3 linked regions of the Coturnix japonica genome follow. The protein of the gene in region 2 interacts with the protein of the main gene of each other region in a biochemical or structural test. Links are inferred from orthologs where the notes say so. Each region holds a gene or a part of one and is shown on either strand. Other genes may lie near its edges. The genes, in order: WNK1, OXSR1 and WNK4.

Region 1 (9,950 bases), on a different chromosome or scaffold from region 2:
AAGCGCAACCATAGAAGGGAGAGCAGCCAGGGTGACGCTGCCAAACACACGACTGACTTGTGGCCAGGGAAAGCCCGAAAGTTGCAACTTTTTTTTATTATTATTATTGGGTTTTTTTAATTTTATTTATTTTTTATTTTTTTATTTTTTTTTTACAGTGTACATTGTTAAATAACGTAAAGAAAACGCTTGTAATTCAGAAACAGATTTTATGTGGAAAAAAAGATACTCAAAGTGTAATATTAAACAAAATAATTTAACAGTTCAGTAGCATTAGTTTATTCCTCTAGACTTCAGTTATTTATCCACAGGAAGGGGGAGGAGGGGGAGGAGGGAGATCAATGGTAAATAAAACCAGCTCTTGCATAACATTAAGTGAAAACAACTTCAAACGTATTAGATCAAAATTAAATAACCACGTGCTGCGCTCAGCTTCATCAGTTCCCCTGTCGCAAGCATCCCCCTCTTGTGTGTCAGCACCATCTGGGGCCGGCAACCGCTTCCTTTACCCCCAGGTGCACCTCTCACCTCCCACCTGGCCTATCTGGGAAACCTCTGCACCATCCAGGACAAAGAGCAGAGCAGTGGGCCTTCTCCCCCCATTCCCCCCCTGCTTCTGCCCCTTCCCACCACGGACTTCTCCCACAGCTCCACTCCGCACTGAGGTCACAAAGAACGAGCCCTCAAACCTAAGGATCTCGGAGCTCAGGCTCCCTGCTGCTGGCTTTTGCCCTCTTCTGGCATCTCACTCTCTCTCTCCACTCGGTACATTCCCTTGCTGCCAAAAATGCTGGAGAAAAGAAAAAAAAAGAACAAACAAAAAAGTAAGAGGAAAGGAATGGATCCCGCACATCTCTTTGCAAACAAAATGAAGGTGAGGACACTCGCAGACAGAAAAGCTCCCTGTTAAAGCTCCACAGGGGAACAGCACGCTCAGGGAATAAACAACCTGGGCAAGAGACAATCTCCTGCGTGCTCCAACCTCCGGACAGCAGTGAGCCGCCCCAGCGCCGGGAAGCAGCACCGACCCCTCACAGCTCTTTGCAGCACTCTGTAAATACTGGCTGGTATTATTTTAACGTTGTGGAGGAAACCAGTATTCTTAAATAGGAAAAGGGAGGATGAACACAGCAAAGGTACAGTACGGCTAACTCAGAGGTGACGGCTACAGGCCCAGTACCAGCTGCAAATCTGATAAGAGTGAACTAAAGCGTAAATAAATCCTCCATATAAGACTGAGGAAAATTCTTGATGCCGGCTGTTTCAAGTGCATCCATTGCCGGCAATGGACATTGTGCCAGGACAAGACTATTCCTGGCGGCAATGGCTAAAAAAAAACAACCAAACACAACCAACCAAAAAACCACAACAAAACAAAGAAAGAAAAGCGATCCCAGCAAACGAGCCCACGCCAATGAGCAATGGCACCTCTCCCTCAAGTCACTTCCTGACCAAACACCTTCACCACTTCTCAGGTGGGGACACACTGCACCTCAAGTTGGACCCTTCCCACAGACACACCTTCTCCCCATCCTCTCCATTCCTGATCCAGACCTCCTGCCTCTACATAACAGCGGTTCGTCTCATTCCGGCTTCACACACAGCCCTCCGTCCTGCCCCACCTGGCCCTCATCACACTAGCAACATCGGATCATGCCCTCAGCCAAGTTTCCCATCACTCGGAGCTCAGTTCCAACCCGCTGCACCTGCTCTGCCTGGTATCAGTATCACTGTGCCGGTGGTAAAGCCCCCCTCCACAGGTACTACCAATGCGGCCTTCTCTGAACTTGCCCCTCCATCCACCTGGGGTCTGCTGGGAAGACAACGCTAACTGCAGAAGCAATAGAAGTCCAAGGCACTAAAATATCCAGCAAGCATACTGGGAGAACAGACAAGTATTCAAGTACATTAATTTATACAATTTTACATTCACATTTATTTATCTAATACAATGAAAATACAAAGGAAAAAGTTAAAGTGTCTCCAATAAGTATAAGGATATAGCTAGCTTTTTTTTCCCATTTTTTTTTTTTTTAACTTTTTAACTTTTTTAACCCTCTATATTCCACTCATTTTTAAACTACTGTTGTCCAACAACATTTATATATCACAGTGTTTCCACATCAAAACTGATGGTAAGTACATGTCCGCAGGGAACTTTTAAAAAATCTTTAAACAATTTAAATTGCTCTAATGCTGCAGTCAAAGCTGTTAATATCTTACTTAAAGCAGTAATGACCTATCAAGCACGGGCTGCACTGCAAGTCCATTCGGGCGCCCCATCGTTTTGGAGCCAAATAACGATTGAGTGGGGAGAGGGAGAGGAGGGGGATTTGGACAGCTGGTCTCGGATCTTCAGGGAGAGAAGTGCGCTAAAGCCTCATGCTAGGATTCAACTCTCCCATCTTGACATACGCGGATTCAGCCTCAAACCAGAGAAATTTTACAGCAAGACTGCGTTAACTGCCCCGTGACTGATCTTCACGGCTCTCGCTTCACACACAAGCGGGAGCCCTCGAGTCAAAAGAACTGTCCCAAACTAAGGATGCCGATCATCCTCCTCCCCCTTGAAAGCATGTGGGGAAGCCCCCTTTACAGAAAGTTAACAGCAACAGGTGGAAAAGAGAAATTAATTCCCAGTCTGGCAAGCAAACCAGTTCATTGCAGCACTAGGAGTTGACAAAGGGCCCCATCTCCCTCCCCACGTCCTGTCCCGAGGTCTAGCCAGCACGCTCTCCGGGCAGGGCTAAGTGGTCCGCAGGTTGGAGCCTGGAGGGTTGCTGATGGACTTCTGCAAACCCGTGATGTTGAAGCTTTGCAAAGACGTGGCACCTACGGGCTGGAACTGGCCAAGCGGTTGCTGTGCCGGACCGCTCGTCCCACTCCATGGAGCGGCAAAAGACGCCACTGGGTAACTGTACTGCTGTGGAGGGCACATGGCCTTCGTGAAGGGACCTAAAGAGGTAGCTGATGCTGCAGAGATGGGCGTAGCACCCAGGGAAGATGTCATAGAGATACAGAGCTGACCTGGTGCTGAGAATTTTCTTGCCATTCCAGGGCCCTGAAAGAAAATCCAACCTCCAGGTTAAATGACCGTTCTTACAAGCCAACGGCTATCCCCTTGGCCCGCAGGCCGTTCCAAATGACTGTCTGCAAGAATACACCACGGCCGCACTCTTCAGCTATCCCTCTTCTCCTCCAGATCAGCAATATAATACTGCACACACAAGGTTTACCCAACATTTCTGTAGAGCAATTGGCCAGGATACCTGGATTGAGATAGGCAATGAGACCCGACAGCTTCTTACCGTAAACATTCATGGGTTAAATCTTACCTCATAGTTGCTATGCCCTTTGCCAACTTTCTTGCCAGACAGGTTCATGGCATCTCGGGCCCAGTTATCTACCAGCTTGTGCAGGTCATCTGTGAAAGTCCCTTTTCGGCTGGAGGCAATAGCAGTAGGCTGAGACTGGGGTGCTTGGCTGTTCACTGTAGCCCCAACTGCGTTAGTGCTACTGGTCCCTAAAAACACAAGAAATGGGAATCAAAACTGGGGTCGAGATCAGCTTCCTTCACTGAGTTTAATAATTGTGGCAATGGTACAACGATAGAGAGCCAATTAAAATGCCATGCAGTTTAAGTCTAGGTTTCAATTCCAAGACAAGCTGAAGTAGGAACTACGAGGACTCCTACAGGCATTTTCTCAGATTATTAATATTTCACGGATGTTTCCTTCAAGAAGTCCTGCAAGTAGTCATCTTGACAGGGGAACAGCAGCAGCCTACAGGTCTTTGTAGAAGAAAAAGGAGATTAGATTTCAGCACCAAATGACAGTAGTCGTGTCATTCTTTCATCCTACACCATTTAATTAGTAGCAAACACTACCAGCACAAGTCAATTCTGCCTCAGAGGGCAATGCTGGAGGCTGAATATGGAGTACTACAAACAGCACAGCCAGCTGCTCTGTAGAAAATTATCTCCACTTCTTAAAATGAAGGGGAAAAATTCACTCAGATTACACAAAAAGCCACAATGAGAAACAGCAACTGTTGTTTCCAACAGCTGCCATACTTGAGGATAACCAGACGGGATAGTCTTCATCCACTAAAGAACGGAGATCAGCAGGGGAAGCATGCACTGTGTTAAATTTTGCTTTTCCCCTCTGAAAGCACTTTTTTTTTTGCCATGATGTTCAGATTTCCTAGCCAGAAGAATCAGCATTTCAGATGCAAATAACTAATACAGCTTAAAGAAGGCAGAAATGAGACCAGTTCCTTGGATGCGCTCTGACATGATTTTCTGTTCACTGGGTCGCCCACAAGAACAAAAACCCTTCACATGAATACTGGGGATCTGGTTCTTCTAGAAAGTTTGCCGAACAGCACCCTGCAGAAAACATCCAGAATGTTTGTGTACAATAGCCTCGCTCACTGCCTCACCCTTGTAAGCAACAAGCTTCACTCAAGATGAAGCTCTTCACAAGACAGATATCCTAGCAGTAGCCAAAGTTGTCCATTATCAGGTAAGCTTTCTAATTTCCAGCAGTGTTTTCATCCCAGATGTGGAAGATACTTCTGGGATGTATTCATTCATTTCTAGATATGGGACCCAGTAGGGCCATGGGGAAGGCAGAACGAAACTGCAATTCTCAGATCCCTTTAACTGAAAACAAGTTCCTCATCAGTATAGAGCTAAGCCCTGCATTCACTGCAAGCACCTTCACCTAACTGGTTTTCAAATATCTTCAAATATTTTACTTGCTTGCTCTGAAGGCTGCAATTGGGAAGCCCAGAAAACCTGAGCGTACGGCAGAATTTCTGCAGAAAACTGATTAAAAGTTGACCATCAAAATTCCTAGCGAAGACGGTCATTTCCAATGACAGTCACTGGCTCCTGCCTGACAGCTGATTTCTCAGAAGGAGTGGTGCTACAGTGGCACAGGCTGCTCAGGGAGGTGGTAGGGTCACTGTCCCTGGAGGTGCTCAGTAACCGTGTGGATGTGGCACTGAGGGATGTGGTCAGTGGGCATGGTGGTGTTGGGCTGGTTGGACTGGAAGATCTTAGCGGTCTTCTCCAACCTTAATGATACTGCAATTCTAACTCCTCTGTGCTACCCTCCCTGGCTAGCAGCCACACTCCTTGCAACTACGGCATCAAAGAACAAACCAACTGGCTCCAAACCCCTGCAGGAATGCTTTACATTAAGGAGTGAATTAGGAAGGTGACATACTTACTACACGGGACAAATAAGCAAAGTGTTACCGCCTCTAGTAGTGCTGAAGAGGGAAGGACACACCTCCCTCCCACCAGTTCCAGCTCAAGCATGGAGATGGCTCCCAGTGAGGATGCTCACCAGAGGGGCAGCAGCTGTTACAGGCAGGCAGAGGCATGCAACAGCACACAGGGAAGGAGAGAATAGGGTTCCCTGACCAGGGAGTGCAGTTGCAGCTCAGATGAACGCTAACAGAAACATACCGTAAGGTGGCAAGGAAAAATCTACAATAAAATAATGAAAACTTTAAGCATGCACCACATCTTACTTAATAACAACAGTGACTGAGAAAAAGAAGGTGAAATTAAAGACAAAACAGGCAAAAACAACAAAATGAAACTCAAGACGAGGTGTTGAAACCAGTAACAACCACATTCCACCATGAGGGCTCATGCAGGGATTGACACACTTCCTCTCATACTCTTCATGATGGCCAATATCTGGTTCTCATGTCTCATATTTCTATGTTAATCACTAAGCGCACAGCTGGCAACCTGTGATCTTGGCTCTACGCTGAAGAGCCTCTTCAGGCCATGCAATGGAGAGAGTTAATCATGAAATACTACAGTGCATTCATCCAAAGATGTGAAAAAACTGTTTAGGAAAGCTGAAGTGTTCTGAAGAGGACTGGCTCATGGTTTAGTCCAGGGTTTAAGCTGAACAGGAAAAGTGGGGGGCAAAGAGACTTGTCTGCAAGGTGATTTTATTGTGGAACTCCTATCTCAGGTCACAGATGACCTGAGGGCAGACCAGCCTAGGTTAGAAGAGGTGAGCTGTAAAATTACTGGAGCTTCCATAGCGTCATTGTAAAAACTGACTTCTTAGGAACTTCACATTTTAACCCTGGTGTAGCTGTCACCTACTGGAGCTGCCATCCAGAAGAGTGTGAGAAGGAAGTGTTTCAATTCGTGGCTTTTAATGGAAACAAACCCCCGCATTCCTGCTTGGTCACAGCAGCCGTCCCCATTCCTTCTCTGACATGAAGGACCTGAAGTGAAACAGGCTTCTCCTTTCTCCAGCCTGCCACCCACAATGCCTTCATTTCACACCCAGCCTTTTTAACCTTTTCTTATTAATTTTAAATTTTTAAATCTCACCATGAGCCAACAGTCAAAAGGCACCTTTACAAAGTCTTCAAGGACGTGACCATATGGTGGCTTTCCTACACATCTCTTACAAAAGGACATGGATTGAGATCAGATGGCTTACTCTTGCAATGCTGAAGGAGACTCTGCCATTGGAGCTGTCACTGAGGTGGCAGAACCCGTCAGATACATAAAGAAACCAGCTGCTCAAAGGTACAGCGTTAGCGCATCACAGTGAGCAGCTGTCCTCGATGCTCAATTCACTGTCATTAGCAGTGAGCAAGGAGTCGTCGCTCAGGGAAAGTGAGGCTCTGCCTCCACTTTTCTGCAAAGGTAATAGCCACGCTATGCAGATATGCTAACAACAGAGTATACATTAGAGGGCATAACGGAGACAGACAGATGCTGTGCTGGAGACAGAGTCAGGGAGGCAAGGCTTCAGTGACCAGAAAAAGCCAATGAATAGCTTTACAGTCAGGAGCTGGAGATAACAGAAATAAGATAATTACTACAGAGCTGGTTGCAAGGACAGACTTTTTTCACCATCTTCCCTGAAGCACAAAGAGAGAGTCATTTGTTAAAGATAAAGAGAAACAGTGAGAAATGTTTAGTATCAGCAAACAGTATGAAAAGCTTGGTGAGAAACAGAGGGCATGGCACAGGAGGGCTCTTGAAAGTTCTGGTATGTTCTATGAAAAAGCCTGAGATTGCTCTGACAGTTTCATGAGCTGAATTTTCAGAAAAAGAAACGGTTTGGCCTTCTGCGTTTATTTTTTAGTATTCCAGATTGCCCAAACTGTAGTGAAGAATGGCAGGAAACATTACTGTTTCAATTGGCTGTTACTACACAAGCAAAGCAAACACATCTTGCATTTTTGTCAGGGCTTTGGAAAGCGCTTTACAGCTATCAAGTTTGACTGTCACAAAGTGAGAAGAATTTGATAAGCCAAGTGCTCTCATGGTTTGTCACCTTGTTCTCTCAGGCCTTCCCATATCCGTGGGACAGACCTTCCCCGCCAGGCTGTACCACTCTATTTCTCCCACTGCACAGTTACAAGCATCAACTACTGCACTGTTTTCTCAACGCTGCTGATTTGAACCCAGCATCTTTCCCAGTTGTCACTCTCCATAACAGTCTGCAATAGCACTTGAAGGACAAGACTCCAGGAAGCAAACAGCCTGTAATGAGCTGAGTGCCAGGCCAAGCTGTGCCATGCCTTTACGAGTATGACCTGCTTTTGCAGGACAGCTGCAACACACATTTCAATAAGAATCCATTTTTCTTAGCACCAGCCCCACAGGCAAAGGATATACATGCCAATGTACTCATAGAGCCAGATGGCATACAGTTTGCAGCAAGCCAGAGCCTTAGAAATACATGACACTCTCACACTCAGTTCACTGTCAATTCCAGAAGTGAAGTAGTTGTTCATTATACTCTCTAACCCAAAAAAGGATGGGATAGGGCAGACAAGAGAGGATTTTAAAGAGTTTGCTTTGGTAAGCATATAAGTATTTCCAAGAAAGGAGCTGTTAAAAGTCTTTGAACTGCAGATGTTTGCTACTGCAGTATCCGCACAGTAATATATCTAAAATCCAATGAGATATCATTGCAAAATTCAGCAGCCACAAATATGCTTCTCCTCTCTGTCTCTGCTGCCTTGGAGGATTGTGCTGGTTGCATTGCAGCTGTCTCTGCAGAAAGCCCGGTCTCATTCCTACACACAATTCTCTGGCTGCCAACTGCAGCAAGACAGATGCTACAGATGCATGGTACATTAGGCAGTGCAGCAACTGAAGGTCTCTTTTCAGCACTCGGAACTCTCATATCAAGTCATTCTGGAGTCTGGGAAACAAATGTCAGAGCATTCAAAGGGTCCAGCCTGCAGCAGCAGCATGGGAGATGTCGCAGCGCTCTCCAAAAAAAAAAAGCATTGCAGCAGCAGCCTCAGCTCAAGCACATCGTTAGTTCAGACAATCACATCAGAAGTTTGAGGCTCTCTTTTGAATCTGGTGTAACATAAGCACCAGCGAAAGGATGTTGAGAAAGGCTGCAAGGTAACTTGCAAGGGTTGACAGAATGTCTGAAGATGGCCATTTCCCCACCTGTACTGCTATGTGCATCATATTTAGTCTGTCTATGATTCACATTAAGAGCTTCTAAATCTGTGGCCCAGTTGAGCTGACCTGAAAATATTCTATAACTATTTTTAAGTTTTGATTTTTTAATCTCCATCTGCTAACAAACACAAGAAGTCGATGTTAACTGCCTACAGGTGGCATCAATGCTCTGCACTGTGATCAGCACTGGTGCTGACAGCATGCATAAATACCCAACCTGAACAGCAAGCACACTGCTGGAAGGAAGCTACACAACCCCTCTGCCTTCAGTTACAACAGTGCCCCAAACAAAGGAGTAATTTGGGAAACAAATCTTCCTCACTGTTTCCCTAGGAAAGAATAGTCATCCTGCTAGTCTCATGGCAGCTAATATATACTGAAGTGTAATTAATAAGCAGGCCAAAAGAAAAGGCCCGGTATATCACATCTGGCAAGCCAACCTCAATTTCTGCCGTTTCACTGACCTGCCCAGAGAAGTTTTCACCAAAAGCTTAGAGAAATCAGTGTTAAAACAGTTTAAAAACAGAGTACCTAACACGAGAACCCAAACTTCTAAAGGTATGCTAAGAGCAACTCAGCCTAGCCATGGAATGGGAGGGAATACGAGATGGCAGATGAGGATGGGCTGCATGAAACAGATCCAAGCAGCAGAAGAAAACAAAAAGACAAAACAAAACAAAAAAAGACAAGGAAGGAGTAAAGGTGTTACACACAAAGAGCCAAGCAGGGCGTACTCAGAAATCGGGTCCTCCTGCCACCAGGCTTGAACGTCACTCTCTCAGATGCACAGTTAAACTTCGCACAGCCTGTGAGAAAACAAAAACGGGTAGAACAGAGAAAGGAGAGGAGAAGAGACAGAACACCACTACAAGATGTTAGCAACTTGAGGTTGGAAGGGTGAAATGCATTAACATGGCACACAAGAGTAAGCTTCAAAGAGTGGACCAAAGAGTATGCAGACAACATACGGAGTGAAGAGACTCGCCTTCAGTACAGTGAACACGAGGCCAAGTTTGCTGTGTTAACCTCCAATTTATAACCCAGCAATGGGGTTTCCACTGGTAGGAAAGCCAAATGCCAGCAAAAGCATCTAATTGTAGAAGATACCGTACAGCACTATGTACAGGGAGCCACAAGTAGCTTCAAAAGTACTTGAACAATTCAACACAAAAAATCTCTACAGAAAATTCTTGCCAAAATTCTTTCAAAAAGTCAATTTCTGTTTTCCATTTGGACTTCTACAAATGCAGCAATAATATTTGTTTGATTCGATGCATTTAATCAGTCTATGGTAAAGCTTTTTGAAAAGATGCTATTGCATAAAAAACCGAAGCAACTACGTTCATAGAAGCAAAAGAATTGAACTATCATCAGAATCAGAATCAGCCACAGCACTTTCAAATTCTAAAAGGAGTCTTTGGAAATTTTCCTACCTTTTCAATTACTTATTACCAACAAAACTGTTCTGCCT
Region 2 (9,950 bases):
ATTCACTTGAGTTTGGATATTCTTCGTATTTAAGGCAACTGCCTGTTTAAGGTGCTTTCTTCTGGAAGTCTCAAGAGAGGTTTTATCTTACTGCAATCTGCAAGATGGAACTGGAATTAACGTGGCCTGTTCTTACAGCTGATATCTGAAACAGAATCTAGTTCTTTACTCTCAGTTACACTGAGATCTAATAGTCCCTAGTAGAAAATCCTATCCCATCCCTGAAGTTGCAAGGAGGGAACTTCCACTTCTGTCATCCTACTGCTGGTGTGATCTATGTAGAAATACAATATTTAAAGCCATCCTTTAGTATCTTTTGAAATCTTAGTTTTTTCAGATAGCCATTAGTGTAGCAATTCCATGTAATAATTTGTGGCAACAGATATGTGACTTTAAAGAGCTCACCGCATCCGCTCCTTTGTGCAGTTAAGGAAGATCTCTTGGTAGCTGGTGGGTATTACTGATATTCTTTATAAGCTTAAATCCTCTAAATCTCTCTTATAGACTAAAATACGATCAATCTGTAGGATGGAATACTCTAAAAGGCCCTAACTCTATTTTGGAGGTTAATTAGAACGTCTTCTATCTTGTCTCTAAGCTCAGAATCCTATCAACTAATACCAGTTATTTGAACAGTACTTAGTTGTTTCATTCCTCTTATGCAGAAAAACATATGTTTACCAGCTCTTTTTCAAGTTACTTTTTAGTTTATTGGCTTTTCTTGAAGCTTTTTCAATATTTTCTTCTACTGTTTTCTGTTCTCGTCTCTTTAATTTGGGATGTTCTTGGCCTTCACTTTTGGGCCCTGAGTGTCTTTGTTTTGTGGAGCCCAAAGGGAAAAGAGTAGGAGCACCCATACACCTCTTGCTTTTGATCCCCTTTTAAGACTTGGATCTAAATTGTGAACATTTGTTCCAAATACAGCAACGTTATGGAGGGGCTAGTGTTAATCCTCTGTTTTAACCGTATGTCAAATGCTACATGAATTCCACCTGCCTGTAATCCCATTGCAGTTTAATAGTGTGAGTTTAGACTGTAGCCTTTATTTTTTCCTGCTGCACCTGAATTTTACTGCTGTCAGCCTTAAAGGATGGCTTATCGTCTGGCTTTATTTGCTGAGGTACTTTACTACTATCCTCTATAAAAGCTTTACATAAATAGTTTGTATTTTACTGTCAGTTTCCACTTTATTAAATCCACCTTGTTTTTTCTGTCCCTGAAGTCAGACAAATATTAATAGTAAAAAAGTTTTCTGCCTGTGTGCATGTATATTTAAGCATGTCCCCTCCAGTCGTCCTATTTGTACCTATTTGTATAAATACATTCTAATGTTTCTCTTACTTCCATTCTGCCTGTTCATGTCTTTTCCTTAGTTTATCTCTGCTTGCCCTTTATCTGGGCTGATTAGCTGCAGGGCAGGGCCTGTGTCCCATGCTTGTCTGTACAGTGTCTGACACACTGATCTTTTGGACAAGCTCTGGTTGAGTTATTCCTTGAGGCGCCCGGGTGCTCTTGGATACGAACTTTCTGCATGAGAGAACAGCACTAAAACTGAGGCCTGCAGATGTGGAGCATTGCTATTTACCTCTGGGAGCAATGCCATATTTTTCGTCTTTGCCTGGTCACTGTCAAGTGAAGGCTTAACACATCAAGATGGATTTCAGCCTTTAACCTTCCAGGTTGGATTTCAGCATCTACCTTTCCAGCTGTGTGACTTCTTCTTCCTGACACTGTCTGCAGTTAGTCACTGTGAAGGAGCTGTTCCTTCTCCTTCTGTCCAGATGGCTTTTTGCAAATTGCTATTCTCCAAATAAAACCTTTTCTTTTTCTCTAGTGAGATGCCTCTGGGCCATACATTACAAATTGTCCTGACCTGTACTGGTTAAGTCATTGGCATTGGTTATTGCATAAATTGCCTCTAGTTTAGTGTCGTGATGACTTTCATTCTGTCAAACTCATACTGTCCTGATATCAGGTTGTCTTTTAGGCACCAGGTGTAGAAGAACATTTATTTTGTTAATCCCAGCATGGACCTGTCTTATCTCTTTACAGTAATTGGACCTGTTAGTAGCCAAAAATGCAGGCTATCTTAATTGCAGAGCTTTTCAGGAATTCTTAGCAATTCCTTTCTGTCCATGTGAAATAATTAATGCTTCTTGTCTTTGTTTATTGATAAGCAAAAATTGACCAAATTGTTTTGACTGCACTTTCTTCCACATTACACTGATCTAATGGAATTTTGCAAAGCAGATCTCTTGATCTCTTGCTTATCTTTTTATGCAAGATTTGGGTAGCTTACAATGGATCTTGCACAAGCAGCTCGAGCTAATCTTGAGTGATCTTCAAGAACGCTTGATCTTGTTATTGGTTAACAGAGCAGCTTATGTATTGCATACCACTGTATGCCAACTACAGCTCCTGAGACATGACTATGAGTTTCTGGGTTCTATAATATGATTAATTAGCCACCAAACTGTGGCTTTCGTTTCATTAAACATCTTAACATTTATATGTAATTAAAGAAAAACCAAAACACAACAGTTTTATCCATTCAGTACAACTCTGACAAGTCCTTCTAGCTGATAAGTTTAATTTCTGTCAAAGCAATGACAACCTTTTCTTGTTGTTTTTTCAGTCTCCCAGAGTGAAAGAACCTGTACAGAATTCAGAGGTAAGTATTAAATGTCTTCCCAAATATGGTAACTTATTATTTCTGTTACAAATACACTGAGTAGGAACCTCCGCTCAAAGCTGTGAAATAAATCTCTAGTAGCATTTGATTGCAAACAAAACTTAATTGTAGTTTGTAATCTGCGTTCAGCTGTATCTTGTGCTTCTTACATTAGGAATATATCTTATCTTTCAGTGATACAGGCTGCTTATTTCCTAGAGCATGCACTGTGTCCTTCCTTTCCTTACCTATGTGAAAAGATTTTGCCCTAGGAGTTAGTCTTGGGTTAGGCTGCCCTGTTCTACTTTCCTGTTTCCAATGATTGATTATAAAAGGAGGTCTTAAGACTGCAGTTCTTGTAGTATAATTTTTACCTAACTCTGAAATCAGAAATGAAACCATAATCCATTTGGGATGAATTTCTCCACTGTGATACATCCCCTAATATATATTGTGGTTTGAAGATCTAATTCTCAGGCTTTAAGCATCCAAGGTGAGTTATGTTTCCTACAATTCAGTGGAGTGAGTTGGAGAAGTGCCACCAAGTTCACAGTTCTTTGGCCATCATGTCAAAACCAATTACTCTGTTTCAAATAACTGGAGTTAAGAGCAACAGAAAGGTTAAACTTCTTTAGCTCTCCTCCCTATCTCCACAGCTACATTGTGTATATGTTTTCTTGATAAGGAGCTGTCTTTAGTAAGTGCAGTCCCAAAGAGTTTGTTTTATATGCTTTGAAGCACTGGTGCTATGTAGAAAAGCAGTTTTCACTTGAATACCTAAGTGCTCTGACTCTGACATTTGTTTTACAAACAGATAAATAATTGATAGATGCTAAAGTGCTTTACAACTAGCAGAGTTGCTGTATTCTGACTGTCTGGCTACTAGGAAATATAAGTAGGCATCAAAGTTTGAGAGAATATCCTGTCCTACACCTTTTCCAAGCTTGGATATGTTTTGCCTGCATCTATTTCTCATTCAGACACCTTTCTGCCTGCAGTTATTCCCATCAGCTGAGCCTCCAGCTCCCTCACTCAATGCTCCAGCACAGGCACCTACTCAACTACCTCAGGCTGCAGGACCAGCACCTGCACAACCTCAGGCTGCTGTACCTCCCCCCAGTCAGGCTCCTCCAGCAGCCCCAGCAGCAGCTCAGGTAAGGTTAAAAACCTCTTGTACTGCCTTTCAGCTTTGCACTTCACCGTTGTGTCTGAGACGTGATTAAATGGAAGACAGCCTTGAAAGTTGCTTGTCTGGAGTTGCATGAGTGCTGCTGTTTACATAGAAGTGACAGCTGGCCTGGTAGCTGTAAAAGGAAGAGAGCCAATGTGAGCTCAGCAGTTTTTAGTTCTTCTGGTGAAACTTTCACTGTGGGTGAGCAGTGATTTATGTTTTTATGCCATCAAGGGAGTGCAGTGTTTGCTTTAAGGTAAGGCTAAAGGTAAGAAGGGAGAGTGGTTTCAGTGGCAGCTGCTTATTCCTGGTGTTTGAGGACAAGTTTTTAAGGTGCTCCAAAAATAGATTCTGATTGTGTTTGCTCCCACATCATTGCAGTCTGTGGGATAAGAGTGGAGAGAAAAATGAAAGGAAGAAACTAGAACATGTAGGTTCTCCAGGCATCGAAGGAGAGAAAAGGGGCCTAGCTTGTTACTGTCTTCATAGTAGTAAAAAAAATATCAGAGAAAACTCTTTGGGGAACTCTAAATCTTGTGGTATTTTCAAGCACATCCATTTCAAGCTGAGATGGGAGAACAGGGAATTTAAAAGGCTTTACAAGCCCATGTTTAATTTCTAACTGCATCACTAAAAATTGTAGGTTTTAGTTCATATAGGCAGACGTGCCAAAATTGGGAAGGAGCTCTAACGTGTGTTAAAAAGAGAAAAAAAGGCCAAACCAAATAATTACGGAGATGCTTGGAACGTTTCTTGTGGTTAAGCACTGCAGAGTGTGCCAAACTCCTGAGTGATGGCACCTCTTCGTAAAAGATGCTAATGTTCATTTATGTTGATGGGCAGAAGCTGTGTCAGTTGGATGGGTCCAAGGTAGCATCACCCACTGGCAGATGCAGAGGGAAGAAACTTGGCAGTGTCAGTCAGAAAAATAACTTAGACTTGCTCCTTCCTAGAAACATTTCATTATTTGTGTTTTAGGGAAACTGAAAAGATGTGTGTGTCGCTTCACTGCAGGCAGCTCGTGTTCCTGTTTACAGAGCCATTAAAGATAGTGCATTAGTCATTAAACAAAAACAGTGGAGATGAGATCTGTCGCATTCTTGGCTGTGGTATAAGTAGCCTTAGTGCTTAAATCAAACTTTCACATCTCTTGGGGAAGAGAAGGGGAAAAAAAAAAGCCAGTATTTAATCCCTGAATTCTATGCAGCAGTTGAAACACCAGCAACAGTGAAGGCCAGGACTCATCAATTCAGTAAATTGATGTTGCCATGTTGGCCTCAATTAAAGTGTTTTGATTTGTACTAGTGGAGTATCCAGTTCCCTGCCGCTATGCCCCAATAGCTTATTTATTGGTAGCTTGTCCTAAGTTGAACTTCATACCTCTGTGTGTTATGGTGTTCTTCCTTATAACTTCCCTTTGGTTCTTGTAGCTTGTTTGCTCCCATTTTATAGACCTCAGTGCTTTTTATCATCTTCTGCTTGTTTTCACTGGTAAAGCTTACAGCTTTAGCAGATCCCAGGCTGTGGTCAGTAGCTGTGAGCTGCATTGGTGACAGAAGAGCACCAATGGATGGAGTAGAAAACGATTCTGAAACAAAGGATGATCATTTTCTCTCATGAAAAATAAACCAGTGATCTGGATGAAACAAAGAACGTGGTCAAGGTTTCTAGGCTTAAAAGATCAGCTAGACGTTGTCTGTCTTGTTACTGCAGATTTAAAATCCCTGGCTCAGCACGTGCAGCACAGATAATTTGTACAGAGAAAGAGTAATTGACTTTTTTCAGTGAGTGCGAGGTTTTTGGTTGCTTTTTGTTGTTGTTTTTTGTAGAGTTTGATTAATAATTAGTCCTTTACTGGAAGTATCACAAGTGCTATAAAGATGGATCTTTCCTACTGGAAATCTGCTGCTCAGCACTATAAAATGCTTTGACTGCAGGTACCAGTAATTACTCAGAACTAATTTAGAAGTGAAAATAGGTAGCTGAAGTCCCCAGTTTACCTAAAAAGTAAATTGGGAGTCTATGCTAATCTACCATTTAATTTTTTTCCTCTGTACTCTTCACAGTTGTATCACATTTGTAAATCAGATGTTTGGGGCAGAGATTAAAACACAGGAGGTCTTGAAGTGCCTGATGATTGGCAGGCACTTCATGATGAGGGAAGAATGCCTGAAAACCTTAATGTTTTGAGGCAAAACAAGCACTCTCTTTACATTAAGTATCTATTCTGAAGTTTCTTGCTAATTTGACGTTTCATAAAGTTGTGTAGCATTTCCTTTCCTGGAGACAGTTGCAGAGAACATCCTGATTTACTATTTAAGCACAGAGCTTTCCCATTTCATTCTGTCTTGATTTTCATTGTATTGTTAGGACTCCAATCATGAGTTAAATGTTTATTGTTACTTATAGTTGATTGAGGTTGTCTCTAATTTTAATGCTACAGAAAAGAAGCATTAGTCTCTTATAAAATAACATAATCCTATTGCAGGCCCCACCTGCCCCCGCTGCAGCTCCGGTACAGGAAGATACGAAAGTCCCCATCAGCCTTGTACTAAGGTTAAGGTAAGGACACCTAACTGATCTGTTATGTCAAAGCGAGCCTTTGTAGAGAGGGACACTGGAAGAACTCCATAGTGCATCTTGTTGTGTGCCCTTCTATTTGAAAAGCTGTGGCCACAAATTGTTTGTCAGCTTGGATTCTGTTCACCTCCTGAAACTGGGACTAAGAACAGCAGTTTTCATCTCATCTACTTCTCCAGTTTGACAAGAATTAGGTTGAAGAAGGTTTTGATACTTGAATACATCTCCCTGAACTCTGATAGTCTGGGAAGGAAGCTGGGTTCTCCAAAAGAGGGCCAGGGATCCAGGGATCTTGGCCATGTGCCTCAGTAGCCGGATAATCCAACACAACTTCAGTCAGCTAGTTCTGAGACTGAAGAGCTTTTATCCAATTCAAGACTTGGGTTCTGGTTCATGTCCCTGGAAAAGATAGAAAAAGGGTTATAAGTGCACTTTGTCATCATTATGCATGTTGACTTTTCTCGTTTAAGGAATCTGTCTCTCATTTCCATGGCTGTGTTGGTTGTAGATGGGCACTGGGTTGGTTCTTAGCAGGAGGAAGAGGAGGAGGAAGAGTGTAGTGAACTCAGTTTTCTTCACAGACCAGTTCTTCAGTGGTAGCACAGTGTTCTTTTTGAGCATTGCTTAGTGCAATGAAATGTTCCCTTCCATATAACATTTTCTTCTTTCCCCAGGAATTCAAAAAAAGAACTCAATGACATCCGATTTGAATTTACACCAGGGAGAGGTGAGCTGCTGTGACATTTGGGTGCGTGTGGGTGGTTTGTTTAAAGGGACCTTTTGTGTTTGATATTGTTCAGTTGGGTGTATGGAGATGCCATGTGTGTGCCTGCCTCTCCTGCCTTCCCAAGGGTATTCTATGGCTTGAGTTATGATTGAGCTGTTAGGTCAATTGAACGCTGCAGCTGAGAGGCTTCTCATGTAAAACTGTTACAAATATGACTGAGTTACAGCCATTCAGTGCTTTTTAGCTTGGAGTCTGGAAGCATAGCACAGAACTGTCTTACTGCAGTGCTGTAAGCAGTAGGCGGGTTGAGGTATAGAAGCGTCTGGTTTTCCCCTTTCCCTTTTGATCACATATTGAAAATGAATAGCTAGAAGAACTGACCTGAGAGCACAGCAATGCAGATACTAGTTTGTTTGGCTTTCCCCTTCCACTTAGAAGATCTGTTGCCCTACCAAGTCAGTTCACTGACACGACACCCTTTTATTGTGGAATAGACATGCAAGCCTAGAACTTGCTTATGTAAATGTCTGGCTTGCAGCAGTTTGTCCTTTAGGCTGCCTTACTACACAGTGAAAGACACCTCTTCAGTAGGGTGTAATTAAGGTGTGCCCTGAATTGGGTGAGTGGATGGATTTCTTTACTGACTTAGAAGGGAATATCTCAGGTCTTTGAGAAGGCCAAGGACTCTGCAAAGTTTAGGGTAGCCTCAGGATTTGCCCTGACAAGGGTAGGGAAAAACAAGCAAGCCTGGAACTGCACAGTCCTTCCAGCTCAGAAAACAGAACATTTCCAGCTCAGTACAGACAACTCTTTCTAGTCAGCATTAGGAAAATTAAACTTGAAATGAAAGTCAGCAGCTTGCACACACTGTCTCACATAGACAGTGTTGTTGCTGTTTGGTTTTTTGTGCAAGCTTCTGGATTTCCATGTGGTACTTGTGTCAGCTGGACAATTTCTTTCGTATGGTAACCAGTTCTTGTGTTTCTCCCCAACAGATACTGCTGATGGTGTGTCTCAGGAACTAATTTCAGCAGGGCTTGTTGATGGCAGAGATCTGGTAATAGGTAATTATCAGTTCTTTCTTCTGCTCTAACCATTTCAGTCATTTCTGCATCTTTAAAATGACCTGATGAGTGGGTGCAGGGGAGTTCTCCATGGCCTTGATTCTCTTCCCCAGTGGCACTATAAAACTGTTGGTAATTCCAGTGGCAGTTCTGTGCCCAAATATATTTATGCAACCTTTGGTTCACAAGAATAGAATCTAGTTGGAAAGATTACAAAGCAAATGTTCCCCGAAATGTGAAATGAAAGTTAATCAGTGCATTGACTAAATCAGTCTCATCTGACACAGGCACTGCCAAATTGCTGCACAAGCCTGTACTGCTGACAGGTTCTGCACAAAGAGAGGTCTGGGACTGGAATCAGCCAGGCTTTTTTGTTTTAAGGCAGTCTGTGGAAGGAAGTATGAAGCACTATTGCATGCAGTGCACTTGGGCTAAAGCAACAGCATGTGTTGTTTCCGTACTCAAGTGTGTATGAATAAATACTTCCAAGCACACTTTCCTAAATAAACATGTCCACTTTATGCAGCAGGTGAGACTTTTAACTGCTAACAGTACCTGGGTATTTCAACTACAGAAAGCAAAACTGTTCCTGCAATATCTGGAAGGGCAGCTGGTGTAAAAGTAAATGGATTTTCAGGCATGTTTGGAAATCTTGATACTACTAATTAGACTTTGAGGAAAAAAGAAGCACCGTAACAAAAGTCTTTAGATTTAAATAAACTGAGTCTAATGGAAGCCTAAACTTCTTGTATCATTTTAACCTGTTCAAAGTTTGAGTAATATAAAGAGACCTTATGAGTTTGGGGTGTTTTTCTCTGTCCTGACCTAATATTTGCCCATCTTTCTTGTTGTGTGTGTGTGTGTGATTTCAGTTGCAGCTAATTTGCAGAAAATTGTGGAAGAGCCCCAAGCAAACAGATCCGTCACTTTCAAACTGGTATTTATTCCTGTTCCCTAATTGAACAAGCTGTCACTTGCAAAGATAAAGCATTGCATATAGATGCATGTGGTGTCTACTGTGGGCATCTAATGTATGTGTTCTAAATCCTCCTTTCCAAAGCTTCCTACTGGTTGTCTAATAGTAGGCAATGAAGGCTCCCTTCTTGTCCTCTGAGCAGGACCTGGGTTAAATGTCAGATGATTTGCTAACACCGAGCTTCCCTTGCCCTGGCCAGTAAGCATAACAGAATGTTACAGAAGGGTATTTTCTATGCCTGGAAGTTACACAGGCTGGAAATGGCAGGAACAGGGCATGTAAGTGGGCTAAGAAATGTCAGTGACTCCTTGAAGGAGGAGGGGTGACAGAGAAAGAAGTGAAGGGGGATGGGGAAAAGCCAAAAGCAGTGAAGGAGCTTTCTTAGAGGAGGAGAGATAACAGCAGAGATAGTGAAATGCTTAGATAACTATAGTGATAAAGCAAGGGTGTAGCCATTTTATTGGCAACGAAGCTGTAAATTGTTCCTTTTGACCCCATCTGTGAATAAGCTGTTCTTTCCTCCCTGTTCAGTGCATGTAGCCCTCACCAGAGCAGGTACTGGCAGAACTTCAGTCCCAGCTCTTCCTACCTCAACCCCCCCAAAAAAACCCAAACTAAAAAAAACAAAGCTCAATTTTAACTTTGGGTGATGCTGGCTGCAATGCAAAACTGTCTTGTAACTGCTGCCTCCCCGAACTATGTCTGTTGTACCTCGTAGTGATACTAAGCATGGTGTGAGTCATAAGGCAGAGCATGTGTGT
Region 3 (9,950 bases), on a different chromosome or scaffold from region 2:
GCCCCCCACCCCTGGAGGGCACAGAAAGCCACGAGCTCGCTATGGGGCTGCTCACTTTTGACGCAGGGTCTGCAGCTCCTCCCAGATCTCCTCATCCTCGCTCTCGGTGTCATCGCTGCTCACGTAGGACAAGCTGCGGGAGGAGCTCAGCCACACCTGGCTCAGCACAGTCTGCGGAGCGCTCTCCTCCCCAGGGCCCTCCCGGTCACTCTCTGCCGGCACCACTGTCCCCTCCTCAGCCAGCGCCTCCTCAGGGTTCTGCACTGCCGTCTCCTGTTCTGACTCAGAGTTGTTGCTAGTGCTGCTCCCTGTGCCAGAGGTGGTGGGCAGCAGGGAGCTGCCTACCACCAACTCTGTGCCATGCTGCTCGCTTTTGCTGCTGCCCAGCACTGGGGATGTGACAGCTGGCTCCTTGGATGGCGTCACCTGGAAGCGGCCCAGGATCTGGGGCTTGGCTTCTGGGGGAAATCCATGGGGCCTGGGGTGAGTGGGATGCCAAGGATGCTGCTGTGCCCCTGTGGGTACGGTCCTTTCCTACCTCACCTTCATTGATGGGTGACAGCTGGGCCTTGGTCACACTGGGTGCTGGCGACTCTGAGATGATAAGTGGGTGGCTGGGCTTCAGAGGGACAAGCGGCACCTGCAGGCACCCACATGCTGGCACCACGCCACCACAATACCTCTGCTTTTGCTCCCACAGCTGCGACCTTTGGCCTGCTCAGCCCTCCCCACATCCTCAGGACAGTCTCTGTGCTGGAGCATCCCCATGCTGCAGAGCTCTGCATCCCATCACCCACCCAGCCCACAAACATTAAGCCCCAAGTCAAACAGCTCCGTAGAGCCCCACACTCACTGTGCTGCCCTCAGGGCTCTCTGGCACGACTGAGCTTGGCATCGTCAAGGGACTCCCCGTGGGGCACACAGGAACTGCTGCTGGAGGAGAGAATGGCACGGGCCCCCCCACAGCAGGGACATCAGCCCCCGGAGGCCCGCTGCGAGACGGGGAGGGTTTTGCCATACTGGCAGGGTCAGGGTAAACAAAGCGTGGGGGCCCAAGGATGAGATTCTGTGGCCGAGGCAGCGGTGGAGGGTAGAGGTGCCCACCTGAGCTGGCAATGGAGGAGACAGCAGGCAGTAGCGTGTGTGCCACGCTCATCACTGCCAGGGAAAAGACATTGGCAAGGGACAGGAGGGGAGTGGTTGGGGACCAGGATGTGCTGGTCACAGGGGGGCTCACGGGACTGCTGGGCCCACTGGGGATGGGGGATAAGGGGACCGGCAGGGCAGGGGGAACAGACATCCCTGAGGAGCCTGGGGCTGACTGTAGGAGCACCGGTGGTGCTGTCATCCAGGATGGAGCTGATGAGATGAGGGGCCATGGCTGTGTTGAGCCTGCAGGAAAGAGAAGCATCAGGAGCAGCCCTGAGCACCGTGCCACTGCAAGTCTGGCAAAAGTGCTGCAGCTGGCAGGGCTACGGCTGGGAGCTCTGGGTAGAGAAAGAGCTGAGTGTCACCCTGCCAGGCCTGGTACCTGTGGGGGAGCCTAGCAGTGGTTCTGCAGGGCTGGAAAGGTCACTCTCCAATGGGGAGCTGCTCGGTACTGGCGGGACGGGTGATTGGAGCCAGGTGCTGGGGCTGGTGCATCCCGGGTCTGCAGTGCAAAAGCTCACTTAGGCGTCTAGGACAGGCCTCCTAGAGCCCTCCTGGCTCAGCCAGGGGTGCAGGAAGAGCTCACACAGAGGTGAGGATGTACCACTGAGTGAGGAGGAGGAGATGGACTGCGAGAGCTCCTGCAGCTGCAGCTCTGCCTGCTGGGGAAAGAGAAGCTGAGCTCAGCGCTGGAACAAGCTGAACCAAATCAAGATCGGTCCCCAACCCATCCCCACTGCAAGTGGGGATCAGAGCCCCAGCTCTGTCATGTAGACTGCACCACGACCCGGAGCTGCAGGGCTTCTCCTGCCAGGGCTGGAAAGATTCAGCAGCCGCAGCATATGCCCCGGCACCGGGCAACCTGCAGCCACACTCGGGGTCCCAGCGCAGGGGGCCGGGGCCGGGCACTCACGGGACGGCTGGTGTCACGCTCAGCCTCGGGGCTCTCGGGCAGCTCGGGCGCACTCTGCCCATCCTTGCGCAGCAGAGTCTCCACGCGATGGATGATGTCCTGAATGCGGTGGATGAAGCTGTCCTGCTCCGACTTAAGGATGAACTCATTGTGGACCTGGTGGGGCAGCGCGGTGATGCTCAGTGCCACGGCTGCCCTCTCCCCACTCTTATTCAAGTCCTACACTCACCATGACAGCTGCAATTTCCTCTGGGTTGTCCCCATCCAGGTCGAACTTGAATGTCACCATCTTGTTGTTGTAGGTCTGCAGCTGGCACTCCACCACCCGATCGTTCTTGTCAGAGATCTGCATGCACATGAAGGCTCAGCAGAGGCAGTGGGGACGCATTTACCCTGACACCATGGCACTCACATTGGTGATGCGCAGCCGGGACCGAGCTCGGCGCCGCTGCAGCCTCCCCACTGCCCGCTTGGCTGGCAGCTTGGTGCTCTGCTCGCCGGCAGAGAGCCCCTCGTAGCCGTCGCTCATGCCCGATGCCACATCCGAGGCATAGCTGCAGGATGCCCAGGTACATGAATGTGGCTGTTCCCAACTGCAGCCCCCTTCCTAGGCAGCTCCAGCCCAGGATCCCAGTGCTTACCTGTCCACTGGAGAAGAGAAGCCACTGGCTGTGGGCAGGCGCTCAGTGGGTAGCTGCACTGCGATGCTCTGTGGGGAAGGGATGCTGTGAACCAGAGCCACCACCACTGCCACCCTGACCCTTCCAGCATTATGGGCTCACCGTGGGGAAGCAACGTGTGGGGCGGATGGGTGGGGGGCTAGTGGGAGTCCCCATTGAAGCACTGTGATGAGACACATCCAGGGAGTCGAGGAAGCCAGAGGAGCTCAAGTAGCCATCTGTTTCGCAGTCGGCTGCAAACAAGCACAAACGTGAGCGTGGCCAGACCTGGAGACCCTCTTCCCAGCTCTCAGCTCCCCTTTAGTGAACAGCCTTGGGGTGGGATGCATAGGTGTGGCTAGAGGAGCGGGAGAGCCCCATGCCCACTTCTCTGTGCCTACATACAGGTGGCCGAGGAGTAGCTCGTGTGCCGGTACACGAAGTGCTGATCAGCCTCAGGTTCCTCAGGCTCTGGTGGGAAGGTGCTGCTGAAAACAGAGTCCCTGGAGCCGGTGGTGGCTGGGGCAGGTGCAGGGACACCTGGTGCCAGTGGGGACTTGAGGTCCTCCAACAGCTTCAAGACACCCGGCGCCTGCCCCAGCTCAGCCTGTGGCAACACATCCTGAGCACGCTTCAGTTTCTCCCGCTTGCGCTTGATGGCGACCACACGGTCCCGCACCGCCTTCGCCACCAGCTTGTAGTCAGCCTCGCAGACAAAGCCCAGGACCACCTGCACAGGAGTGGAGCGGTATCAGCCCGCAGGGACCCCAACGGTGTCCCACCCCCTCCACCTCGCAGCACCCACCATTTCCTGGGCCACCTCCTCTGCCACATCCTTGTAGAGCTCGAAGAGAAACTCGATGGCATTGTTGTCCTTGTACTTGCCATGCAGCTTCTTTGTGTCATCCATCCGCAGCCACAGCTTGAGCCCTGACTTGATGCCATCATCTTCCTCAGCCAGCTCCACATGCACCCCCGTGTCCTCCTGGAAGAAGGAGTGCTCCAGCAGGTCCTGGATGGTGTATCTGGGGGAAAACGCTGCTCAGTGTGAGGACACAGCCCATTGCTCTGGATGGCAGCAAGGGACAGGGCAGAGGGACCATGTGTGGATGCACACAGGGTTGCAGACATTCAAGGCAGGGCTCTGCAGCACCGTGTCCTCTCCTGGTCTCTCCCACCTTTCATCCTTATCCATGCGAATGCAGCCCTCAATGATCTCCTTCAGCTCAGGTACCTTCACTTTGTAGAAGCTGCTGGGCTTCAGGCCCTGGGCAGAGGCAGACAGCACCCATCAGGAAGCTGCAGGGTGCCCTGGTGACCCTAAGACAGTGCCCTGTGGGGCCAGAACCTGCTCGGCAGCAGGATCCAGCACAGGGCTCCAGCCCAGAAGGCAGAAGCTGGCTGGGTCCAGCCGGGGCAGCCACGATGCCCTGGGGACAGAACAGCCAAGCAGCTCCGTTCCACCCTATGAGCGCACGGGGTGAGGCACATGGGCGTCCCTACCCTCTGCTGGCCCTGGCAAAGCTCATGGAGCTGAGCACCTTCTCAGCTCCCAGTCTAATTTTAGCTTCTTGCATAACCTGCTGAGTGGAATACTTCTGGAGCAGCGCGGTCCAGCAGCTCCCACCACACCACCCCTTCCTCCAGCCCTGAGGCACTCACTGAGGTGACCTTGCGATAGATCTGGGCAGCGTTCTGGCACTCTGAGTAGGGGTATTCCGAGGTGGCCATCTCCAGCATGCACATCCCAAAGGCATATACATCAACGGATTCATCATATTTCTCCTCATACATCTCGGGGGCCATGAACTCTGGGGTTCCTGGGAGCACACAGCATGGACAATGATGCGCCTGTCCCCACACACACCTCCACACCCCCCATGACCCCATCCCACCTATCACACTCTTGGCAAAGGAGGCACGTTTAAGCGTGGCCAGCCCCAGGTCCCCGATCTTGACAGAGCCGGTGGGGCCGGTGATGAAGATGTTGTCACACTTGAGGTCACGGTGGATGATGGGGGGTGAGCGAGTGTGTAGGAAGTGCAGCCCTTTGAGGATCTGGCGGCTCCAGCGCTGCAGCACTTTCAGCTTCATCTCCTTGAACCTCTTCAAGTAGCTGCGAGGGGGCAGGGCTGGCACCACAGCACCCCACGGACACTGACACAACCCCGTTCCCCACGCCTGACCATGATCCCACCACCACCATTGAGCTGCAAACAGCACGCAGCAGCCAGGGGCTCCCTGTACCCCCTCCCAGAGGCAGCACAGAAAATGCAGCTAAATCCAAGCCAAGATGCCAGTGCCAGGAGAGCAGTGGGAGCCAAGAGTGAGCGCTGCCCTGTGACACCCTGGGCCCCCCCAGCCCATGTGCTGGCTATCGCTCCACAGCAGAGCCCTCCCTCACCTCTTCTTCCCTGCACACTCTGATCCATCAGCCCCCACTCACGTCTTAAGAGTGCCAGACGTCATTAACTCAGTGACCAGCACAATGCAGATCTGCCCTTTGACGGATGACTTCCAGGAGTCGTAGAAGCGAACGATGTTGGGATGCTGCAGCCCCTTCAGCATCTCCACCTCCTCGCTGAAGCGCTGCCGCTCTGTCTTAGACAGCTTCCGTGTCTGCAGGGGCAGGAGGGAGTGAGGGGTACATGGGGCTGTGGAGCTGTCACATCCCACCCCCCTCCCTGCGCTCAGCCTCGTGCATGGCTCTGACGGAGCCACTTGCCTCATCAATCAGGCCAGGGAGGGATGGATCCCCCTGTGCTGAGCTGCGTGTGAAACCCACCCTGAGCCGGCTGCCCAGACCCATAGCCAATGCTCGGTGCCCAGCACCAGAATGGGCATTGCTAGCCCCACACTTCTAAGTGCTCAACCTGCTGTTCTGCCTCGTGCAGACCTGTCTGCCCCTGTCCTGGGCAGCTCCTGCCCTCCGCTGCTGCACAGCAGCTGCAGGCACCAGGCACCTTCATGGCAGGGAGCCGGCCTGCCTCAATGAGGCCTTTGTTGGGGAAAGCAGGCGTGGGAGGCTCCAGCCCAGGTTTTTCCATGTTCCTCCAGCTAGAGTTAATTAAAGTTGAAGCCAAAGAGAGCTGACACAGGCACTGAGCAGGGCTGCAGGGAGGATGCAGACCCTATAGGGCCCTCTACAGCAGAACATGGGGATGCAGAAGGAGCACGAACGTGCCCCACACCCCGTGCCCCAGCACAGCCCTGGTGCAATGACCTTTACTCTGCACAGAGCCAAAGGGACCAGGGAGCACAGAGCCCAGGAGCTGGCACAGAGTCCCAGGAGCCCAGGTGGCAGCAGTGCCAACAGCATTAGCGAGGTGCCCCCATTGCTGGGTGCTGCCTGTCCCAAGCACAGCTCTTTGGCTGCCAGCCGCCATCCAGCAGCTTTTGTAATATTTTCATTGCATCATAACTGGCCCCATGGCTGGGCTGGAGCTGCTCCATAATCCCCTCTCTTCCTTAATACATGCTCAGGGACCCAGCTCAGCCCAGAGGAGAACTTGAGCCTTGCTGCAGTGGATGAATGGGATCTTTCATAGCCAGAGAGGAAAACAGCGCCCCAAGGCCCCTGAGCCGCCCAGCACACACCCTGCCCCCCCAGCCCACCACCACCTACTGCAGAGCTTCAAGGAGCTCAGAGGTCTGGCTGCACCCCATGGAGCCACGGGGCAGCTGTGCAGGCTGCGGCCAGGGCTCAAGGACTGTCAATGTGGCTCCCTACATTCAGTGAAGGGGGACCAGGGTGGCATGTGGACGTGTCCCCCAGGGAGCCTGAAGCAAAGATAAAGGGAGCCCCACTCTTCCCTCAAGCCTGTGATGGATCATTCCAAAGATGGAGACAGGCACCTCAAGGGCTCTGCCCTGCCCTGCAGGGTGAGTGGTACCCAGCATGACCCCAGTCCCACTGGAGACACTCAGGCTGGGATCGCAGTGCAGGGCAGCACACAATGTACAGCTGGGGCTGCCAGCAGAGCTGTCTGCCTGGGACACAGTGTCTTTTCCTAGCAGACACCTTCTGAGGAGGAAGAGGAGAACGATGGGGATGGCAGCGCAGTGCTGGGGAAATAGTCCAGCTTCATCCTAGGGCCAGGAGATGGCTGCTAGTGTGCACAGCTGCAGAGCTGGAGCAGCGCCTGTGGCATCGTGTGCTGCTCACCTCAGCCAGAGGGTCCCAGCAGCATCAATCAGTGAAAGACTGCACTGTGCAGAGCTGAGAGTCACACCAGGAGGAGAAGCACCCAGGGCCATCTGTAGAGGTGCTCAGTGGGAATGGCACAGGCTCTGGGCACTCAGAGCCCTGAGGACACAGTCCCTGCAGCCACACAGGAATCCAAGAGCACCCAGTTCTTCTCCTAGTGGGTGCCTGCACCACCTGCTCCATTCCCAAACCTCCGACCCCCTTCAAGCATTCCCCTCTCAGCTCTCAGCCTCCCACCAGCACAGGATCCAGAGCAGATCTCTGGCAGCATGGCAGCACCCGCCCTATAGGGCTGCTCCTCCCCCCTCCAGAGGGGTCCCCACAGACAAACTACGCATGGGCAACTTATTTACAGCTCAATCCCACTCTGGGCTTCTGGTTTCCTCCCCACTTCCTCCTTTCCCCCAGCCCTCAGCACCTAACAGAAATAGTCTCAAATCTAAAGCTGGAAAGCACAACAGGTCATGGCAGGTCTGTGGGATGCAGGGACACACAGCACTGCACAGGGCTGCGGGCAGTGGGGACAAAGAGGCCCCCAAGGGGTCCTACAGGAAGGCAGAGAAAAGGCTTTGGGCAACCTGGTGGTGAGACAGGGCCAGGACAAGAGCCAGGATTTGAGACTGGGAGGCTGGATGAGGCTCCTGGGACCGGAACTGCATTCAGGGCTGAGGTTAGGTGTTCATTTATATTTTAAAGGTAATAAAAGGAGAACTGTGAAAGACACGGGACAAAGCTATTTTTAAAGGGGCAGAACCACAACCATTTTTATTTGCGGTTCCAAATCCTGTATTTGTGTCACAGTGTCTGATTCTTTGCATGATTGCTGGAAAAAACAAGCTTTAACAAGTTTGCTTGTGTGCTGCCAGACCCTCACGGGATGTGCACTTGGGGACAAGAAGCACTGAATAAAGAGCAGAGGGGACTGTTTTGGGGCTGCCTCTGCTCCACCCAGAGGGTGCTGCTCTAATCCCCAGGCACCTGAATGTAACTGGCACACGGTGCCAGCCCAAGCTGCAGGACAAGTGCTGGGGACTGCAGCCCAACTCCCACAGACACCCTGGTTCGGTACGCTGGGTACGCAAGGGGATGCAGCCCAGCACAGTGCACATGAGTACCAAGCTGTGCTGTCAGCTCCAGGATTTGCTATGGCTGCAGTTGGGGCACAGTGGGGCACACGGGCATGGCCCCACAGCAGGAACGTGAGGCAGCCAGGTGGGATGTGCTGGGCATGAGCGGCTCCTCTATTAGCCACATTCAGCAGAGATGCTGCTCTCACCAGCACTGAGCTGTGGCTTCCTGTGCTGGTGAGGGCACAGTCAGGAGCTCAGGGATCTTAGAAGGGAGACATGGGCATAGCAAAAGGGGAGCACTGAGCGGCTCTGGGGAATCTGAAGCAGTTGCCCCATCTCACAATACTGAGGCCTAGAACCACATCCTCCTCTCACAGGCTGTAGTCACCCCTCCAAAAGTCACACACCATTATCTAAAGGATCTCTCCTTGCATTACTGGGTTGCAGCCATCCCATGCGGACGCGCCAAGGCTTTAGGAACAAGACAACAAACTTGCAAGACATGTTTTTCTCTGTAAACAAGGACTTGGACCTTCCAGCTGCAGCAGCCACCCCCGGGGCAGGAATCTGTTGGAGACTTTGGACTTCACCAAAGCCCCTCCCTGGGGGCTGCAAGGAGAAATCTGGAGCCCCACTGCCAAGATCTGCTACTGCAGCCTCACTGCCACAGCCAGAACTGCTCCCAGCACACGCAGGAGGGGACTGCTGTGCTCAGCTGCCCAGCATCACATCCTGCTGCTGGGGAGCAGTGGAGGAGAAGATGGGGAAGCCACAGGTTCAGATGCTGTTAGCGGGGAGCACCTGGAAGCGTCATAGAAACCCATGTGGGTGCCCACAGGCACCACTTCAACCAAGGACAAGCAGCTGACGTGCAGCAAGGACGTTCTGTACCCTGCACCTTTTCGCACCCAGCCCCCGGCTACCTGCAGCACTTGCTCCAGAGCCTTCCCAGAGCTAACGAAGTGCACCTCCGAGCCAACTCCGGCACTGAGACGGCTCCCCTACCCTGTCTGCGCTTCCAAATGACGATCTGTGAGCTGATGAGCACAGAAAGTAGCGGGGTGCAGCCCAGCCCGGATTTTCCCCCACTGCCCCAGAGCGGGGCTGGAGCCGCGGGCAGGGGCAGCAGGCGCCCCATGAGCGCTCCGTAGCTCAGGCAGCGACACAGCAACGGGAAAACAACGTGCGACGGTGGGAGGGACGACGAGCGCGGGGCTGAGCGCGCAGCCGAACCCCGGGGCACCGGCAGCGCACGGAGGGTCCAAACCCCCCGCACGTTCCCAGCCCCACCGCTGCAGCGGAGAGCGCTGGGTGCGCTGCGGGGGGACCGAGGCTCCCTGCCGAGCAGCCCCTGCCTGAGTGCCCCTGTTCCTGGGCTGCGTCACCCCGAGCTGTGCCGTGCCGTAAGGTGAGCACCCTGCCCTCGTACCTGCAGCTCGCACCACGCCACCTCCACTGTTGTCTCCGTGTCCAGCCCCTTATAGACGGTTTTGAAGGAGCCCCTTCCAATCTCGATGTCAAACTTCAGGAAGCGGCCGTCGGGAGAAGTGGCCACGGCGCGCGTCTCCACCTCCTCGCTCTCCGTCTCCTCCGGCTCCCGGTGAGACGCGGCGTCCGACGGCGGCGGTGACCCCGCGCTCGGCCCCGGGTAGCCCAGCAGCTCCAGCTCCACCGAACTCCGCCGGTTGAAGCGGGAGGAAGCGCGGCGGGAGTCTCGTCCCGATGGCCTCCGGTTACGGTTACGGTGCGGTGCTCTACCGGGGAGCCCCGGCTCCACCGGGGAGCCGCCGCCTGCCCGCTCCGCCTCGGGCTGGGACATGGTTCCAGCGGCGACGGGCTCGACCGTCAGCATCAGCTCCCGCAGCTTCGCACCCCGCAAACAGAAGCTCCCCGAGCCCCGACACGGGCCCCGGCACCGGCGTGGCCACGCCCAGCGGCACCCGCCCCTCCCC

Evidence for each region.
Region 1: of the proteins of OXSR1 (region 2) and WNK1, one has a biochemical effect on the other in vitro, tested with the Homo sapiens proteins (2 studies listed by BioGRID and IntAct, with this or other methods). The link is inferred for Coturnix japonica from reciprocal best matches to the Homo sapiens genes OXSR1 and WNK1.
Region 3: the proteins of OXSR1 (region 2) and WNK4 are reported together in a solved structure, tested with the Homo sapiens proteins (2 studies listed by BioGRID and IntAct, with this or other methods). The link is inferred for Coturnix japonica from reciprocal best matches to the Homo sapiens genes OXSR1 and WNK4.

Annotation. Positions count from the first base shown.
Region 1 is NC_029516.1:52,091,742-52,101,691, forward strand, and holds the end of WNK1 (serine/threonine-protein kinase WNK1), read right to left. Parts: intron 9,286-9,950; coding exon 9,193-9,285; intron 6,910-9,192; coding exon 6,868-6,909; intron 3,524-6,867; coding exon 3,336-3,523; intron 3,062-3,335; coding exon 2,747-3,061; 3' UTR 2,010-2,746; downstream 1-2,009. UniProt on the Homo sapiens protein: Serine/threonine-protein kinase component of the WNK1-SPAK/OSR1 kinase cascade, which acts as a key regulator of blood pressure and regulatory volume increase by promoting ion influx.
Region 2 is NC_029517.1:4,326,164-4,336,113, forward strand, and holds part of OXSR1 (serine/threonine-protein kinase OSR1), read left to right. Parts: intron 1-2,635; coding exon 2,636-2,671; intron 2,672-3,669; coding exon 3,670-3,825; intron 3,826-6,330; coding exon 6,331-6,404; intron 6,405-7,096; coding exon 7,097-7,149; intron 7,150-8,144; coding exon 8,145-8,213; intron 8,214-9,085; coding exon 9,086-9,150; intron 9,151-9,950. UniProt on the Homo sapiens protein: Effector serine/threonine-protein kinase component of the WNK-SPAK/OSR1 kinase cascade, which is involved in various processes, such as ion transport, response to hypertonic stress and blood pressure.
Region 3 is NC_029542.1:4,643,090-4,653,039, reverse strand, and holds the start of WNK4 (serine/threonine-protein kinase WNK4), read right to left. Parts: upstream 9,851-9,950; coding exon 9,428-9,850; intron 5,341-9,427; coding exon 5,168-5,340; intron 4,838-5,167; coding exon 4,617-4,837; intron 4,542-4,616; coding exon 4,384-4,541; intron 3,989-4,383; coding exon 3,900-3,988; intron 3,747-3,899; coding exon 3,527-3,746; intron 3,452-3,526; coding exon 3,127-3,451; intron 2,976-3,126; coding exon 2,845-2,975; intron 2,772-2,844; coding exon 2,704-2,771; intron 2,617-2,703; coding exon 2,475-2,616; intron 2,409-2,474; coding exon 2,292-2,408; intron 2,219-2,291; coding exon 2,063-2,218; intron 1,812-2,062; coding exon 1,754-1,811; intron 1,652-1,753; coding exon 1,532-1,651; intron 1,393-1,531; coding exon 854-1,392; intron 641-853; coding exon 544-640; intron 459-543; coding exon 56-458; intron 1-55. UniProt on the Homo sapiens protein: Serine/threonine-protein kinase component of the WNK4-SPAK/OSR1 kinase cascade, which acts as a key regulator of ion transport in the distal nephron and blood pressure.